4 linked regions of the Arabidopsis thaliana genome follow. The protein of the gene in region 3 interacts with the protein of the main gene of each other region in a pairwise test. Each region holds a gene or a part of one and is shown on either strand. Other genes may lie near its edges. The genes, in order: AT4G25410, AT3G16160, bZIP and AT2G13960.

Evidence for each region.
Region 1: the proteins of bZIP (region 3) and AT4G25410 interact in a two-hybrid assay, tested with the Arabidopsis thaliana proteins (one large-scale study listed by BioGRID).
Region 2: the proteins of bZIP (region 3) and AT3G16160 interact in a two-hybrid assay, tested with the Arabidopsis thaliana proteins (one large-scale study listed by BioGRID).
Region 4: the proteins of bZIP (region 3) and AT2G13960 interact in a two-hybrid assay, tested with the Arabidopsis thaliana proteins (one large-scale study listed by BioGRID).

What each region holds. Positions count from the first base shown.
Region 1 is NC_003075.7:12,983,440-12,988,272, reverse strand, and holds AT4G25410 (basic helix-loop-helix (bHLH) DNA-binding superfamily protein), read right to left. Parts: upstream 2,613-4,833; 5' UTR 2,502-2,612; coding exon 2,277-2,501; intron 2,115-2,276; coding exon 1,755-2,114; intron 1,671-1,754; coding exon 1,590-1,670; 3' UTR 1,545-1,589; intron 1,158-1,544; 3' UTR 752-1,157; downstream 1-751.
Region 2 is NC_003074.8:5,472,338-5,477,536, forward strand, and holds AT3G16160 (Tesmin/TSO1-like CXC domain-containing protein), read right to left. Parts: upstream 3,011-5,199; 5' UTR 2,754-3,010; coding exon 2,617-2,753; intron 2,510-2,616; coding exon 2,414-2,509; intron 2,277-2,413; coding exon 2,108-2,276; intron 2,001-2,107; coding exon 1,770-2,000; intron 1,683-1,769; coding exon 1,585-1,682; intron 1,496-1,584; coding exon 1,392-1,495; intron 1,301-1,391; coding exon 1,029-1,300; downstream 1-1,028. Other genes in the region: ASPGB1 (N-terminal nucleophile aminohydrolases (Ntn hydrolases) superfamily protein), read left to right, coding at 16-102, 202-696; AAE13 (AMP-dependent synthetase and ligase family protein), read left to right, coding at 3,716-3,887, 4,133-4,302, 4,416-4,601, 4,923-5,094. UniProt on the Arabidopsis thaliana protein: Plays a role in development of both male and female reproductive tissues.
Region 3 is NC_003070.9:25,892,719-25,896,806, reverse strand, and holds bZIP (basic leucine-zipper 8), read left to right. Parts: upstream 1-1,750; 5' UTR 1,751-1,891; coding exon 1,892-2,308; 3' UTR 2,309-2,836; downstream 2,837-4,088. Other genes in the region: AT1G68877 (chaperonin 60 subunit beta), read left to right, coding at 3,314-3,502.
Region 4 is NC_003071.7:5,857,262-5,862,119, reverse strand, and holds AT2G13960 (Homeodomain-like superfamily protein), read right to left. Parts: upstream 2,630-4,858; 5' UTR 2,438-2,629; coding exon 2,396-2,437; intron 2,025-2,395; coding exon 1,873-2,024; intron 1,817-1,872; coding exon of another isoform or gene 1,728-1,816; coding exon 1,676-1,727; coding exon of another isoform or gene 1,577-1,675; exon of another isoform or gene 1,525-1,576; coding exon 1,467-1,524; intron 1,164-1,466; coding exon 1,015-1,163; 3' UTR 809-1,014; downstream 1-808. Other genes in the region: AT2G13950 (Cysteine/Histidine-rich C1 domain family protein), read right to left, coding at 2,871-2,939, 3,100-4,584.

The sequences.
Region 1 (4,833 bases), on a different chromosome or scaffold from region 3:
TGGTCGATCTGTTCATATGCTTATGGGTACGTATGAAAAGAAAAGAAACCAAGATTCTGGGGATATGTATAATACTGTGTCGTATCGTGAACTACAAAAGAAAGTGAGATTTTGCAAATTCAAGATTTAAAAATAGAAAGGTGGTTCTCTGCATTGAATCTTAGGCTTTTATCTATGGCAATTTTGTAATATGCTTCTTATTTCCGAAAAAAATATCGTAATTAAATATCATAATCTTGTATAAATAATTTGTCTGACTTCACATTTGCTATGTCATTTACTCATTTGATGATGTGAGGCCTTGTGCTTATGAATTAAATAGTTATTTAAAATTTCAAAATAGTGATGGCATTTGTATGTATGTTTATTTGTGTTAGGGTTATCAACTCATGCACGTACATTCAAACGATCTTTTATTGTGTGGTTACTGGTTAGTATTACCATCTGTTAGTTATTTGGAACTTCTATTTTACCACTTTCGAATCGCCCAAAGGATTGGTTGTATCGAGGTTAGTGCTACTACTTCATATATAGTCTCTCATCTTTGATATATATCGTAGAGATAACAGTTATGTTACTTCTCAATTTTCGCAGTTTTATGTGTGAACAATTCACATAAAATATCGAAATCTAATTCACCAATGTGGTACTGATAGCGTAGAGAATAGTAGGCTAGAAACAACCTAGCAGATTCTGACTATTATAGAGCCCAAAAGATGGTTCTCACCTACCCTTGCTTCATACTTATCTGGTTAGAACTAGGCGATATATATATATTATGCTATTGTATTGGCCTTTATTTTACTATGCCCTTCCGGATTTTCCTTCTAATACAGGTCTAAATGATTCATGGATATGTATTACAGAAAAACTTATTTTCCATACGAGAAAACCCAAGAAAACCTAACAATGGAGTGATACAAAATGTTATAATGAAAGGGAAACAAAAAAATGGCTTGCCCGTGAGAAAAAAAAAATCTCTACTGAAAACATCAGACCCTTGGTCTTTACGGCGGCGAATCATGGTGAAGTTATGATCTACCCCATGAAGTCACTTGAACTTGTTTAAACCAAAGCTACACCTCAATCCATGAATGAACTTTAACACCTATGCACCTTGCTCTCATAACGAAATTTCAAGAAGACTTTGATTTTTTCTGCATCAAGTATACGGTGAGATTAGTTCATTAGAACATCAACCATAGTTATAATGTTGTAAAACACATGAACAAAAATACACCATATCGAACATTGCTAATATTAGTCTTCCATTGATATATGAACTAGAACCATGTGAAATTCTAGTGTTTATAATTATATATGACTTTCACATTAGTTCTTAACTTCTAAGTATATATAAGTTCATGAACAAGAAAACAATAATTGGAGCAACAAACATATGATATCTACAAAAAATACTGTTTTATATCCACTAACATGCAAGGCTTCAATACCACATCTAAAAAGGACAATAATTTGGAAATGAGTTTCTATTTAGCTAAGCTCATATAACGAATGAAGAGCTCGGGTAAAAGAGATCATACGATGAGGAAGTTCTTTAGGACTACGAATGGTATGTTTCTGCATGATTAGTACCCCGTCGAAAGTATCAAATCCTCAACTAGCTTCTGCTGCAACCATAATAAGTCTATGCATCCGAAACTATTAACCTGTATTGAATATAGTTAAATGTAATGAAACCCTAGATTAACTTCCATTGACATGGCATGTTGACATGTTGTAACCAACCATACCTCTACTTGAATAGTGTGCATGAGCCTATCATTGACTCTTGTAGTGAAGGAGCTCATGACTTCAAGCCCTTTCTCCTGAATTGTCTCGAGCACTTTTGATAGTGGCAAAGCTTCGGGGCCTGAGGAGTTGCTGCTCACTACCACTTCTAAACCGCTCACGTGTGGTTGCACCATCACAGTCGCCGGCTCCGATTTGCCTACATCGGATCCAGTTTTTCCTGGATCCGGATTCGATTTATATCCTTGGCCGGTTTCTCTACTTAACTCGTCTCTTCTTGCACTAAGTTCTTTAATCCGTGCTTCCGTGTCCTTAATGAAATTTACCGCTCCATTTACATGATCCGACACAGCTCTTTTTCCCTATAAATAAAGATTAAATACAAAACTAAATTAAATACAAAAAACGACATATTCACAACCCTAGCAGCCAAATCTCACCAAATCTTGGTTTCTTCGAACAATTGATATAACGAAAAAGTAAATAAATTTGAGAGAAAAGAGTGAGTAATTAAGAATATGAACCTTGATGTATTTAAGAGGTAAGTGAGTACGAAGAGTAGCAAAGAGTGTAGCCATTTCTTGTCTTCTTTGGCGTTCGATGTCGCGGTGGAGAAGCTTCTTCTTCTTCTTATTGTCATCTGTTTCATGGGCCGTACCGGAGCCGCCGCTGCCGCCACTCTCGCCGGCTGAGCTAAACGGTCTCTGTCTCTGGTAACCTTTTGGATTAAGATTCTTATAAGGATCCATAGTTTGACACTTTGAGCTTTACCAGTGTCAGATCTCCAAAGGATTTTGTGGTTCTGTCTTGTGATAATTTAATTTCCTTTATTGTTTACTTGTTGAATGATGGTGCCTTAAAGAACCAGATGGTTCTCTATGTCTCCTTAGGTGAGAGGGAGGACCATTATTTAAATATTAAATAGATACACAGTAGGAGGACCAAATAATGCAGGTTACGGAATTACTCTTTTTTTTTTTTTAAATAAAATTGAAATAGTTATCAGTTTTTTTTTATTTCATTTATGGGATGAGCCTCGGGCTTGATTTGTAACAAACTAGTAGAATACAACTTATAGTCAATATATATACATAACAAAATAAAATCCTCTACAGTTTATTTAATTAAGAGAATTAAAACACATAATTATAAATTTTTGAAATTAATGTCAACTTAATAATTTATACCCTCCAAACAGCTTTTGTCATACCATCATCCAACACAAAATTTCCTTTATGTGAAATACCATTGCGAATCCATCTCTTTCCATGAAATACAGAATTAGTATCTAAAACGCAAACTGTTGGAAAAAAAAAAAAACCATAATGCACATTTTCTCTAAAACAAAATTATATTCTCATACAACTAGGAGGAACTGGAGAATATAACTATTTGACAAATGTCGACGTGAAAGTGCAACCATGTCTTAAGATTCGGATACATGAAAACAAAACCTCAAATCTCAACCGTTGATGATGTTGCGATGGTCGCATGTGGGCTCCGATCCTTTCTTTTTATTTGCACCTGCTCACACTGCAACTAGTCTTTTCACATGTTTATTAAACGTCCATATCCATTGCGTATCAGATATATAATGCTAAAGATATACTGTTCTTAAGAAGATACTATTTCAATATAATATGCTTTGAATATAAAAACCATGACATCCCTCCACAGTTTCCATTATTAAAAAATAATCCTTTTGGTAAAGGTTATCCTTTCAAGGCAAAGCAAATCCTTCTTCTCTGTCACGAATCCCTTGTTTTTTATATATATGTATATACGCATATTAAGAGCCACTATACTATAAAAGATAATCTCGTTGGATGTTTGACCAAAGTCTTTTCTTTAGGGATGTGTGTTGTATGCTGATATGCTCAATATACGCCATAAGCCATATTATGCCTGATATTAGCAACTTTTATAAACCAGATAAATTTGTAAAAAGAGAAAAATTTCATTCACTTATACTATACATTACGTTAAGAAAATGGATAGAGTTTTAAAGTTATAAGAGCTGGTATATAACAGTTTATATACAGTAATATTATTACATGCGTACAACCGCAATAATGTTTGCATATTATAGTCATGATAAAACAAGTTAACTATTTATTATGTAAATTATTTTTAAGACACGTTTCTGCTATAGTTTTATTACATGAGATGCATTTTTCCTATATCCCAAAAAGTACTATCTGATAGTTTTAATCTTATAAAATTAAAATTAGAAGCACGTTGTTATATTTACGTGTATGACCAAATGTCGAATCATGTCAACTCGATGATTGTCGGAAAATATGGATTATGCAAAGTTAAATTATTCCCTATCAGGCGATCGTACACACATGCCTTGTAGGAGTCACGACTAAACTAAAGACATCTCTTTAGACTTGTATATCTGACGGTTGCGAATAGAAGCCGCTATTTCTACAGTAACAACCAATTATTTCTGCAATAAAAAGTTTTAACCAATGATTTTTTTTATTTTTTTTATTTAAGTTCGTTCAAACGAATTAAAATATGTGTTTGGGGCGAAGTATCCTAATGATGTGGTAAATTATACAATTATATATTGCTCTTTTAAATAATTGTATTGTATTTCAATAGTTATTCGTAATAGATCGTTACAACAACATATTTACAATATATCTCCAGCTAAGTTCTCTATATTGACGCTATATTATTTATTAGGGTCATCAAAATTTATGATGAACTTTAGTTCTAAATAGATATGATTTCAAAATTTAAGAAAAGAAAAAAACAAATTGTGAGTTTTAAACAGAATCACCAAATATAAACGACTTTGGCCATGTGTTAAAAGATCACATTTTCTAGACCCTACTTGGCTAATTAATTCCGCCCAAAACCCCAAAGCTGGTCACTGTAGAAAACTAAACCAAAGTTTTCTCACTCTCTCTTTTTTTTTCAACAACCAAGTTTTCTCACTCATTTTAGTTGCTGAAATTGTTTACCAAAATTTAAGTCTAAGAGAAAAGTCAACAGTTCCAGAGTTCAAATATTTAAATCGATCATAGATATGTAGCGGTTTTCAACTAAGCGGCATATAATATACATTCC
Region 2 (5,199 bases), on a different chromosome or scaffold from region 3:
CGGTTTAATGAGAAGGGAGTTGAAATTGTGGACAACGAGTACTTTGTCACGGACGACAACGTAGGAATGCTCAAGTTGGCCAAGGAAGCTAACTCCATCTTGGTACGTTTTTGACTTAAATCTCCACCGTCCATTTATTCATCGTACGTTTTTCTTTATTTTGTATCCTCAACTTTTTCTTTTTTTTTGCTTTCTCACCAGTTTGATTACCGGATTCCGCCGATGGGATGTGCCGGTGCAGCTGCGACCGACAGTCCAATCCAAATGAACGGTCTTCCGATCAGCATTTACGCACCGGAGACAGTCGGGTGCGTTGTGGTTGACGGGAAAGGACATTGTGCCGCCGGGACATCCACGGGTGGTTTAATGAACAAGATGATGGGAAGGATTGGTGACTCGCCGCTGATAGGAGCCGGGACGTATGCGTCGGAGTTTTGTGGTGTGTCGTGTACCGGAGAAGGAGAAGCCATTATAAGAGCAACCCTAGCTCGTGATGTGTCAGCTGTTATGGAGTATAAAGGACTTAACCTCCAAGAAGCGGTTGATTACGTCATCAAGCATCGACTTGACGAAGGGTTCGCTGGACTCATTGCTGTCTCGAATAAAGGAGAGGTGGTTTGTGGTTTTAACTCTAATGGGATGTTCAGGGGATGTGCAACTGAGGATGGATTCATGGAGGTTGCTATTTGGGAGTGAGAAATATTTTAGATTAAGAAAATGTCTTACTAGTATTTAATCAGTCATCGCTCTATTAATTTGGTTATTCATTATCATAAAGCTGGAGGAGTAAATTTAGTTATGTCGTTATCACCAGTCCTATATTGATTTGTGTTTAATGCGGTTTCAAATGGTTAGTTCGTGTTTAAAATTGTTGATCTGTCTCAGCTCCATGCCTAATCAAGAAACTATGGTTCAGCTCTCTGTTTCTTGTATGAACCTTACCTGTCATAAATAGCAACAAAAAAGTGCAGTAATTGGATTTATTTGAGGATGGAGGGATTATCAAAATGAGATGGAATTATTACCTGTTATGATTCCAGTCTCGATTTGATGAACTTTTGGAGACAGTCTCTGAAAGTTTCAAGCACTGCCCTTTCCTGCTCCATGTATATATCTGTTTCATTGACACTTGTCTTGGTCTTACATTGGGAATCCTCTTCTCCATTGTATTGAACATCTATCAGTTCGATCAATCTTCCACGTGATTGTATTTCTTCTTCCACATTACGACTCTCAGACTCACTTGACAGCTCAATGGCTTCCTTATCATCAGGCTTTGTAAATATCCTGTTCTGGTCCTCTAAGTGAGATTTTAAAGGAAGTATGTTGATGAAGCCAAAGGAATAGTAGATCCAGTAAAGTGTAGATTTTGTAAGAGACTACAGATATACCTGCAGTTGTTGTAGCAGATTCTGACGCTGCAACGAGAAGTGAGCATAAATCTCCCAAGTCCGGAAGAAGTGTAGAGGTGTATCCCATGAGGGACCTTTTCTTTCTAGTAGCACAATGAAAATTCAGTTAAAATATTTATGATTATGAGGTGAAGGAAGATGAACTATCATTTTAGGAAATGCAAAATCGAACCTGTAAGGAAGTTTAGGAGAGCAAGACATAGGGGAACCCAGAGCATTTTGAATGGAATTGTCAGGTATCGAAAATAACGGAGCTGGACAAGAATTCCACTGCTATTCCGGACAGAAAAATGAGTTTTATGGAGATAAACCCAAAAGTGCATATATGTTATGAAGCAAGTAGTATATTTCACTTGCCTCAGTTAGCTCTCGGTCTCTTCTCCTCCGGTATACTTGTGGGGAATTGTGAGCAGAAAATGCAGGAGGCTGGAACGCTTCACTAACATTCTTGCAGTTGATGCATTTACAGTTGTCTGAGCACAGAAGATTAGCCTGAAAGCACTCACAGTACTTCTTCAAACACCTGGTTCTTTTACATTTGCAGCCTCTCGAAAGCAGTCCAGGTTTAGTATCAGGTGCAGCCTTACACTACAATACAAAACACAGAACATCCCAGATACTTACAAATGAAAAAGGATGTGAAATATACCTCTTTGAAGCTTAACCTACAAAAGTGATAGGTGTCAAGAACATACCTGATTATCAGTTAGGCTACCTAAAGCCTTTTCACTGAAGGCATTTGGGTTGCGACCTAGTACATTCACCATAGCTGCTTCTCTAGCATCACATTTCTCAGAGTTGTTATGACAATCAACACAATCACAGTCTGTACATACCACTCCTGATGCAAAACAGTCACAGTACCTAATAACCAAGCGTCAAACAAATATCCAATAATGCATCAATCTACAGCAGATAATAGAAATCTCACTATTCAACATTATACTCAAATCTCTATCAGCTTAACACTAAGTAATTCTTGGATCCTGAAATGAACTTACAACTTTAAACATTTGGACTGCTTGCATCGACATCCTTTGTGTTTCCTCGAAGTAATGCCTTCTTCATCTGTCTTATCCTTTGCTTCTGAATGCTCTCTGCTTCAAAATCAAGACCAGTGGAGATCAGAGAGTAGATTTTGGATTGAAATTACTCAAACGAGAAGCATCTCTAGTGAAAATTGGCAGAGAAACTGGAACAATACCGAGAAATCGGAGGAAAAAGAGGAAGTTCTTTAACAGGAGATTCTCGGAAGACGGGAGATACCTCCAATTTGGTGAAAACGAGCTTCCTAGGGTCTTTCTCTGTCGCGATTTTGCCGGAATCTGCGTTTCCTGTCATATCGGTCCTTGACACATTATAGTCGCCACACAAGTTAGTTCCTCAATTTGGCGAACCGATTAGAGCATGAACGGTGAGGAATCCTCAGAGAAGCGTCGATTCATAGATCAGATCAGATCAGTGTATCGGAGAGTCGCCATGGCTGACAGATATCAGAACAAAAATGGAATGCTGGATCCTAATTCGGAACGATGAATGATTGTCTCTCTCTCGATTTTTTTTTTGGCCAGCTCCAAGGGGTTTTCTAAGAAACAAAAAGGTTCTGTGAACAACGCGAAGGTATTCAAAAGCGAGAGAGAGTGATCTTGGAGGGAATGATGATGTGTTGATGACGAAGATGGAGTTGGATTAAAGAAATCTAATTTCATGATTAATAATTTAATATAACAAAATTAGTCTTCTCCAATGCTCAAACCGGAGACCTAAGATGTACACTCCCTTTAAAAGGTACTGATAAAAAAAAAGTTATTAATTGCATGTTGGCATTAAATAGAATCTTCCTCTAGAGTTCAAAACTTCACAATAATAAAATCAATGCATATCAAAGCATATGTATAAGATGTTAGCTAACCACAATTGTTATTCATCAACGGTCAGGATCACATCACTCAAAATGCAATATTCAGATGGTCTTTAATTTTGTGTAAATATACTTAGAAAGAAATTCACAACACAAATAAATGAGAAAAAGCAAATCAGTAATTAACCTTAAAAAAATGCCTAATAAAGCGTCATTAAAGAATAACCCATTATCGCCTGTCACTCACTTTTAATCATCAAAACACGCCACGTGCCAAACTCTCCACTGAATCAAAGTCGCCAAACGCTTCAGTCGCTATTTCATGATCGACACGAAGGCTCTCTTTTGGCGATTGCAACCACCACCTAAGAAGAACGGCTACGTAATTTGACTGTACGACTTGCGAAAAAAGTCGAAACCTTTTAACGAACCAGACCTAAAAATGACCGCTACGACAACATTAAAGAGTTTCAACTACTTGTCTTTAATTAACCATCGACTCAACCACAACTCCTACGCTATTCTCTCCTCTCCTCTTCTTCCTCGATCCCACCCAGCTTCTACTTCGTTTTCCAATTCTGGGTTTCGATTCTTCCAATCTAACCATCTCTTCTGTAAGTTTTCTTCTTTACCTTTGTTTGGTTTTTGCATGTTACATGTTCGACGAAATGTCTTAAAGATTCGTGCTTTCCATATAGTAACATTGATGATCCGTAAAAACCTGAACAAGTTGTTGTTTTGATCTGAATTTATATTGAAAATTTTGCAGCATCTCCAAGGAACTCAATCTGTTCTTTTTTTGTACATGTAGTTTCTATATATTAATCTGAATTTTATCTATGTAATCAAAATGTTGCAGCTTCACAGTCTGGTTCACTCATGGAAGTGTTTAAAGCAGCTTTTTCAGAAGCGTCTAATTCTTGTGATAGGATTGCGATTAAAGCCGATGGAAAGAGTTACTCTTATGGCCAGCTAACATCGTCTGCTTTGAGGATATCTAAATTGTTCTTAAAAGATGATACGACAAATGTATGGTTTTTGGTTTGAAATTGTAGCTACTATATCTACTACTTGAAGCTATCACACAGTTTGTTTACAGCTTTATGGTTATTGACTTTTTTTGTCTTCTATAAATTTCGTAGGGAGGTCAAGAAACTAAGAAGTATGAAGGGTTTGGTAGTCTAAAAGGAGCTAGAATCGGAATTGTGGCAAAACCTTCAGCTGAGTTTGTTGCAGGAGTCCTGGGGACATGGTTTAGCGGTGGTGTAGCGGTTCCACTTGCACTCAGCTATCCTGAGGCTGAACTCTTACATGTCATGAATGATTCGGTATGGAATCTACTTGCCTTCCTATTTCCTTGTGCTTTAATTTCGGCTCAATTGTTAGGTATTCTTGATCTTATTTTTGTGATCTCAGAATTTTGATCCAAGCTCTTGGTTTTTCTAGCATTAGGTCTTTTTCCATAGACTAAAAAGGGTACTCTGTAGAACAAAGTAGAAAATATTCTAAAAGGCAGAAGTTTTCTGGTTTGCTCTGTTTTCTACCACATTCAAGTTTCACAAAATAAGTGTGCCTTATGCTCTTTTTACTCTCGAGAAAAAATGATTAACATTTTCTTGGGATCTAACCTCGTTGTCTTCGGTTTCTAGGATATATCTCTGTTATTGAGCACAGAGGACCATAGTGAAACTATGAAAACCATCGCAGCAAAGAGTGGTGCTCGATTTCATCTTATTCCTCCTGTTGTTAACTCAACTTCGGAAACTGTTGCTTGCAATCAGTTTCAGGATGACAGTTTTGAAGCAGAAGGAAAGTTTCTAGGTAAGTTTTTGAATATACTTGAGATGGTGAACTTATAATGAAGGCTGCTCTTTTAATTTTTGCCACCTTACCTCAAGCAATTATTGGTCTGGATTTTCTGCATCA
Region 3 (4,088 bases):
AACCGTTCGGTTATTTTTGTATTTATATAATTTCAAAATAAATATTAACATATGGGTTAAATCTTTAATTTATTAATATTTATCTCATAAATTTATGGTATATTTTCACTTAATAATAAATATAAACTATAAAATATAAATTTTATAAATAAATATAATTTACAAATTTTTATATAAACTAATTTTTAAAATAAATTGTCATGCGGTGTACCGCGGATTAAAATCTAGTTGGTTGTTTATCACAACAAGTTGTTGTATGACAAAGCTTCAAAATATAAATTCTCATAAAACTACTTGGGTTTTATTTTGAAGAATCATAGATAATACTTTTCTATGAGTTTGTGCCAAAAAAAAGTAATGTCTTCATTACTTTATGCTTGGTAAGTTAAACCAATGCTTTTAAAACTGATATATTTTTGGCACTAGACGATTTCACATCATAGGAGGAATTGCTAGTAATATCCTCTTGGACATTGATATGAACCCGAAAGTTGTAGATCGTGGAATAGCCAAAACGGACAAAACAAGAGTAGCTGGAAACTAGTAAAAGACAAGCAAGAAATCTCTACCACTAGAGTTTCACATTATAATATTTGCTTTCTAATCAATAAAACCATAATGGTCCATAACATCAGCAAAATAAGTGTTTCATTGTGAGTATGTGATACGTCACTTGAAGCTTTAATTGACTTTCATTAGTTACCCCTTGGAGCAGCTAATGGATTAATTCGCTTAATTGTCATAGAAAAGTATTTTCTCTTCTTACATAAATTATGAATAACAGGGCTATATTTTGATGTTATTGGATGAATCCTTATTCTATAGCAAAATAGTTAGCCGATTAACATCTAGATGGCTAAAATTGTCTTATTAAGATAATTCAACATGTCATTATAATATGAACAGACTCGTTTGCAATTTGATGCGTCTCGCACTCTCGAGTTTTTCAAACATTCATCTATATATGTTTGATACCATCACGCCACTAAGATGATTGGCTTTAAGTGGATCTAGGAAACTTCTTTACTAGCAGAAAACATCAATATTCTAATCCTTACTTTAGATAAAATATTATTTATAACTGCTACTAAAAATTACCGCCTAATAAAGCAAATTTAACCAATCTGATACCCCAACCCCAAGTGACATTCACTCTAAATGGTGAAGGTAAATACCAATATATTTAGAGTATTTATCCAAAAAAAAAATTGCCAATATATTTCATCCCAGCTATAAGATATTATTTTCATTCACTAGACTTTATTTGACTTGGTAAAAACATGTTACCTAATGCAAAATTTCTAAAAGCACATTTTAGCTATCCGACCACAACTCTCGCAATTAGGCTTCAGGAACTATAGTAGTTTTTGGTAAAATTTCTTCATTGTCAACTCTTTAACACTATAAATTATGTACAAGGACTAAAGTCACTTTATGCTACATCATTACCCACAAATTTCATAAACCATTGGATTATCGAATAATTACGTATATAAAAAAAATAAAGTACGCTCTTAAAAAAATTAGATATGGTTGCTCGAAAAGAAACATGGTGCGTCGACGAGTCGCTACCTCTCACGCTTTCTTTGAATAATTTATAATATAGTCTTTGATTTTCTCCGCAATGGTCCCCTTCATGCCATCTACTTACTTTCACCTTTCAAGTGCTTCATGACTCATCAATCTCACGATTAGAACTTCTCTTTTTCTTCTCCTTCTATTTTATTAAAATTTACGTATGCTTCAGCCACTTGGATTAGTTATTAGTGTAAGGTAACACTACTTTCGATTTATTCATCTATAAAAACCAAAATTAGAGTGCATTTCATTGATCTATACCATCATACTTGTCAACAAAAATTTTCTTAAAGAACGCATAACTGTTTTTTTCATGGCTGGTTCTGTCTATAACCTTCCAAGTCAAAACCCTAATCCACAGTCTTTATTCCAAATCTTTGTTGATCGAGTACCACTTTCAAACTTGCCTGCCACGTCAGACGACTCTAGCCGGACTGCAGAAGATAATGAGAGGAAGCGGAGAAGGAAGGTATCGAACCGCGAGTCAGCTCGGAGATCGCGTATGCGGAAACAGCGTCACATGGAAGAACTGTGGTCCATGCTTGTTCAACTCATCAATAAGAACAAATCTCTAGTCGATGAGCTAAGCCAAGCCAGGGAATGTTACGAGAAGGTTATAGAAGAGAACATGAAACTTCGAGAGGAAAACTCCAAGTCGAGGAAGATGATTGGTGAGATCGGGCTTAATAGGTTTCTTAGCGTAGAGGCCGATCAGATCTGGACCTTCTAATCGTCTCGTAAGCTTGTTGGTTTTTTGTTGTTTATTTAAAGAAGAGGACCAAGGTATACAAACATCTCAAATGAATCTATAACAATATAATCAAATATATTTTACCAAAAATATAACCTAAAGAGAGTGTTCTTTAGATCTCAGGTTCGAATTTTGTCATTGGGGGTGTTCAGGGGACTTTGCTCTGTTTTGAATTTCGGACCTATGGTCCAAAACTTTTTGGTTACAAAAAAATAAAAACTATATATTTTCATGTTCTAATAAATAAACAGGTCCATATCGATGTATGCATCATCTTTGTCTCTTTCGAAATGTTCTTGATCCCTGTCTGAACTTGTTACGGGTCTATAAACCAAATATTTCCAAAAGAAAGTGTTCATATATAATCTGACAAGTCTTTATCTACTAACGATATTTAGATTCGGCTCAATCAACGACTATTGTAAAATTTCTAAAACAATAGTCAAATCATTTATCACATTCCCATAAACTGACTCAATTTTATCCAAAGCCAAAACATTAATTATATCCTTATCACTATAGTTTTAAAAACCGTCGTCAAATAATTTATCATACTCCCATAAATTGATTTAGTTTTATTCAAAGCTTGACAAACTATATCCTTATTATTATGATATTACCATAAAATAATTTGACCATAATAATTTGGCATGGACATTCAGTTTTTCTGTTTAGTTTGGTTTAGGCTTTTTGGTTTAGTACAATGAATTTTGAAAATAAGTATCAAATAAAAGCAAATTTTAATTCGGTTTAGTCCAAGTTTAGGTTCAGTTCGAATTTGGATAAAAAAAGTTTCGGTTTTGTTTTGTATTTCTGTATTTTAAAAGAATTAGTTCAAGGTGTCGTAAATTTGAGTTTATCACGTAACGTGGTGGCAATGCATTCTGTTTCACCATTTCCAAAGGCAATTGCTATGCCATTCTGTTTCACCCTCTTATAATAGTTCCATTATCCAAACCATTTCTAAAACTAAAGAATCTGAAGATGATGGGCATAATGAGCATTCAAACGGCGATGGATCTTATCGTCGCCGGTGTCTCTCTAATGATCGGATTTGGATTCTTTGCTCTCATTGCCTCTGTCCTCTGCTCCGTCGCTTTCTTCCACCACGTCAAAGCCGCAACTCCCATCTCCACCGCTTTAACTTCTCACCGGAGATATATAGATTCGTAAGAGACGTTCGCTTTATGTATAAGTTATAAGTATAACCCCTTTTTACATGGATCCAGTCACGTTAAAACCGGAACTGGTCAATGACTTCGTTGCTTTCTATAAAATAGTACGATATTCGATATTTATACAAGTAATTAAATATTTGAGTCTATATCTATATTGTTTCATGGAACGTTTAACTTTGTCTTTCAGCACATCGAGAGGAGAAGAGAAACTCTCACCAAGGCCTCACTAGTTTAACTTGTACGAGGAATGTGTAGTGTGAAAAATTGTAATCAAGAATCAATACATATAAAGTTACACGTTACTAATGTAGCATTATTTACATGCCCATGCATGCATGACCAATTTTTTCCAATGATATTTGCATGACCAATTTCAGAGTGTCACTTATATAAGTATATATAAGTGACGAAAACACCTTTTTTATTGTAGTGAATATACATTATTTCTTCTTGCTAATTGTGAATTTTGTTTTCATAAGACTGCGAATGCCAATAACAGAGGAGACTGAAGCTTCTCTCTATTTCTATTTTTTTTTATATGTACGAAGTAACTCACTATAGTTGCTATTGAACAAGCATAT
Region 4 (4,858 bases), on a different chromosome or scaffold from region 3:
TCTTCTTCTTCCACACCTAGACCTCCATCGTCGTCTTCTTCTTCAACATCTTGTCCAACGTGTGCTTCTTCCACACCTACAGCTCCAACTTCATTGATTTCTTCTTCCTCGACCCCAACTCCATTGTTTTCTTCTTCCCCAACACCACCTCCATCGTTTCCTTCTTCCTCAACCCCAGCTGCAACGTTTCCTTCTTCCCCGACAGCACTTCTATCGTCTTCTTGCTGAACAGAAACAATGTCAATGTCCCATTGTTCCTCTCCACCATGTTCTTCGTTATTCCCGATTCTCTTGTCTGCATAGCAAACCTCTTCGCAATCTTCGTCACCAACAACCTCACAATCATCGCCACTCACAGGCTCACGATCTTCCTCAATATCTACTTCAACTACCTTCTTCCTTTTTCTTTTCTTTCGATTAGCCTCGTCGACAGAAGGAATTAAAATTGGTTCAGCTTCAGTAGGATTTGATTCGGCGGATGCTTGACTCAGTCTCCGTGATCGACGAACCGGATCTCTTCTCTTCCCCCCCACGAGTTTTAGCCATTTCGATCGAACAGAGAAATTGATAAGAGAGATGTCGAGTTTGAGAAGAGAAGAAAGAGAGATGTCGATTTGATTTAGGGATTTTAGGGATTAAAATTGGGTAACAGATAAAACGACGTTGTTTTATCTCGCTTTGTCTGAGAAAGAAACGACGTCGTTTTATTCTAACAGAGCAGCTAAACGGGAGTATTAACGTCGTAATCGATTCTATTAAACCTATTTAACGACGTGACTAAATAGACAAGTCAACAGAAACTTCGTCATTTATATAGAAAGTTAACAATAACTTTACGATTTATTAGTCTTCCTTGAAGTTCAAGATTAAATCGTCCAAAAATTGCAAGTTCATGATTTTTTCGACATTTTTCCCATATTAATATACACAGACAACGGATCATATGTACACAGATGGATTCAACGATGGAGCCACTGTAAACTTGTTGAAGAGAATTTTAGAGCTACCAAATATTTACGTAAAATGAAAACCAAAAAAAGTTTCAGAACATGAAAATGATAAGAGAACCTCTTGAGTCCAAGGTCCTTTAACAAGCTCTGGATTAAGAACTTTCTGCCACCTGTGCAAGCATTGGACTTGTGTTCTCTCTGGGAAAAATTCCGCTGTAAGATGAAATACAAAAAAATCAAACAAACAGAACATTGACCGAAACCAGCTACTTTAACATTTAAGAGACAAAAAAGAAATCATGGTTCTCTTGCACAGTGCACAGCAGAGATCATGTTTACTGAATGAGAAAAATTCACAAAATTCTCAGCAGATTTAAGATACGAGTTCAGTTTTAAAAATGTATAAATTATACATTCAAGTATACATACAAGAGTGTGATTAGAAGACCTATAATCTCATTCTAATGTATTGCAATACTACTTTTTCAGGAAACAGATTCAAGAAAAGAAATTTACCTATTTTCTTCCACCTCTTCCCCTTATACTTTTCAACTGCTCGTCTAAGTGTCTCATCCTGAATAGTGATAGAAACCAATTACAGACCACAATAATGCTAGCCTCCTCTTTCATTCAAGTGAACAGTAATCCTTATACATACAAGATACATAGTCGAATGAGGTTGCTCCAGACACCAACAAAATAATGAAACAAAAGCAACCACTAACCTCCTCTGGAGTCCAACCACCTTTTGCTCGTCTCATAGGTCCACTAGTCCTCCTGCAGATCAACATTAAAACATTGCAGAAACCCAAAATGAGTTCGGTGTAAGTCATCAAAGCACAGTCTTTCCAATCAATCAATTTCATAATAAGTTGTATAAACACACAGATAGAAGATGAAATGTAAAAGATAGTAAAAGTACCGAGGAAATGAAGATACTGTGGCAGGAGTTGCGATTTCAGGTGACTTGAGGAAGAAACAGCCACTGCCTTCGGATGCAGAGGAGCAAGAAGCAGCTAATGGTTGCTTATTCTCCATACATTGAATCTCAATCTTCATTTCACTTCTTTCCTCCTAAAACCCCATGAAAATCACCAAAATCCAGAATTTTCGTTAAAAACATGGATTGAGCACAAAATGAACAAGAACGTATCTTTATACAAATAATTAATCAAAACTCACAAAACCCTAAAAACTCAACGGCCGCAAAATAGAAGCCAGATCTCACCAAAAAAAACGAGTCGATTTCTTTCAAGCACAAGATGGATGTTTAGGGTTTATACAATCCTAATCATTAGAAACCAATTCAGACCCTGTTCCAAGACACGTTAAAACGTGTTCCGATTCAGACCTAAAACCCATGAACTCACACCAAAGTAGGCGAAGATAACAATCTGATCACAAGAAATGAAAAGCCCTAATCAGATTTCAGGGAAAAATCTGACCTTTTCCGGTGAACAAACCGGTGGATTCGAACTTGAGCTCATCGTGATCGACAGATAAGCGAATTCGCGAGGAGGAGGAAGAAGAAGGGAACGTTAAAAGAAAAACCAAAACTTTATTCGAAAAAAACTTTGCCCGTTGAACGAGAGAGCAGAGAGAAAGGAGAAGGAGACTAATTGGGATTAAAACAAATATTGTAACGAATACTTCTTCCGCCGACATAACTGCTAACCGCCGTTAACCTGGCACCGGCCGGTTTATTCAAAACCGACTCAAATGTTTTTCTTATAGTTCTTTCGAGTCGGTTTGGAATAAACCGGTTAAATGAATCGAGAAACATGTGTTTTTTACAAAATTTATTTATGTGACTGGGCTAATTATAATATTCTTTCGAATAGAAACGAAAACAACGAGTTTAATTCGTGGTTTGATAAAACGTAAACAACCAGACAACAAGAAGATGAAGCAAATGGGGAACTAGAAAAGTAGAGATCTAGAAGTAAACGACGAAGCACCGGCGATGATGACATTTAATCCATCGAACAACTGTAAGAGCAAAATGTCATTTCATGTCATTTGAAAATTACTTTGTGTGGACAACGATCTTCTTTATGACGATGGCAGAAAGGTCGAGTCATGGTATTGTTGGGAAGAATATGAATGTTTGACCTATAAGTCATTACAGTATGACCAGGTTTCAACATACACTCATCTCCCCAAGCAAACAATCAACATGGAGAGTGGTGCAACAGTCATCACACGCATAGAACCCACCTTTTCTTGAGTATATTAATTTCTTTTCGCATACCTCACACCAGTCTAATTGATCACTTCCCTCTTCCCCTTCCCGAAATGTGAGGAAATGTTTGTCATGCTTGTACTTTGCCTTGTATGGCAATGTAGCACACCTGAAACAAATAATATACTTGCATTCCATGCAATTTAGTTTTCTAATATAGTTATTTCCATCACCATCTTCTTGGCAAATTTGACATATCGCCGCTTTTTCTTCATCTGGCTCTAAGGCTAGAAATAAGGGATGCTTGTGGCCTTGATATTGAAATGGTTCGGAAATAGAGGCACACCGCAAATCAAGTGAGAAATCCTGACTATCATAGACAAAACCACAACTTGCACGCTTACAAGCACCACAGTCGAAGTAATTTCCTCTTCTTCTGTAATGATCGTATCCAATACTGACGACCTTAAGCGTAAGCGGGTGAGTATGCAACGGATGGTGTTTCTTTCTAGGGGCATTAACGCATGCTTCATGTAGGATGAATTCACATTTATCCAAACATGAATAGTACGTACCCTCATAGATTGGAAGGATGCACGCTTGACAAAACTTGTTTTCATCGTAAACTCTATTGATCTCGAGTTTTAGATGATGGTCATGAGAAAAATGGAGTATAATTCCATCAGCTATCGTCTCGTATGGCTCAACATCTATCTCAGGTTCTTCAGGTACTCCCTCGAGATCTTCTCCATTCCACACATCTTTTCGCAATGCACATCTTGTATGAACAAAATAATCACCACACTTGATGCAAGAGTAAGCACCATAATGATTGTCAACCTCCCTACGACAGACTCCGCAAGACCATTTTCCATATGGAAGAGAAGAGGTAAAAATGATACGGTGGTGGTGACGAGATATTTTTATGACATGCGTGAAATATAGACAATCTTGATGGACTACAAAGTCACATGGAACACAAACATAGGTGAGAATAGATTCTTTAATCAGGCCGCAAACATTGCAAGGTAAGAAAGCTTCCCTAGGGGAAAAAGTGAGAGGGTGGGGATGTCTTTTTGTGTGGTCTATAAAAATGGGTACTGGTTTCATCGCACAAACAGGATGCATACTCAGTTTGTGATTAGAAGAATGATAAATAATGTCTTGGAAACTTATATCACAACATATGCAATTCACAAGAGCAAAGGGAGAACTATAAAGTTGGAGAGATTGAAAGGGATAGGAAGGGTGTTTGATTTCAAGTGGAGACTCCACACATTCTTTGTGGAACTTCTTACGACATGTGGCACAAAAATAGTAGGCTGTGCCAAGATTTGTGAGTTTGCATGCACTACAACAGAAGTCGGCACCATTAGGTTCTTTATTGTTGCACCAAAAGAGAGGGACAACAGGGAGCTTACAGATAAGACCGCGGTTGTGAGAATCAAGCATATAGTGGACTTGTGGATCAGCGCTGGGGAAGTGAGGGGAAATATCGAACAGGACAAAGCCTTGGTCATCAGAATTAGCCTCCGGATCTTTTTGGCTGTGAGTTTTGATGTAGAATTAGATATCGAACTGACTTGCTTTATTGATCATTCATACAATTGCTTATATACACAAAGCTGCTAGGGTTTACACAAGGGTTTATGAGACTTCATCGATAAGTTACAGTTAAAGCCCAAAACATATAAGGTCCATACATATGGCCCAATACTCCCCCTCA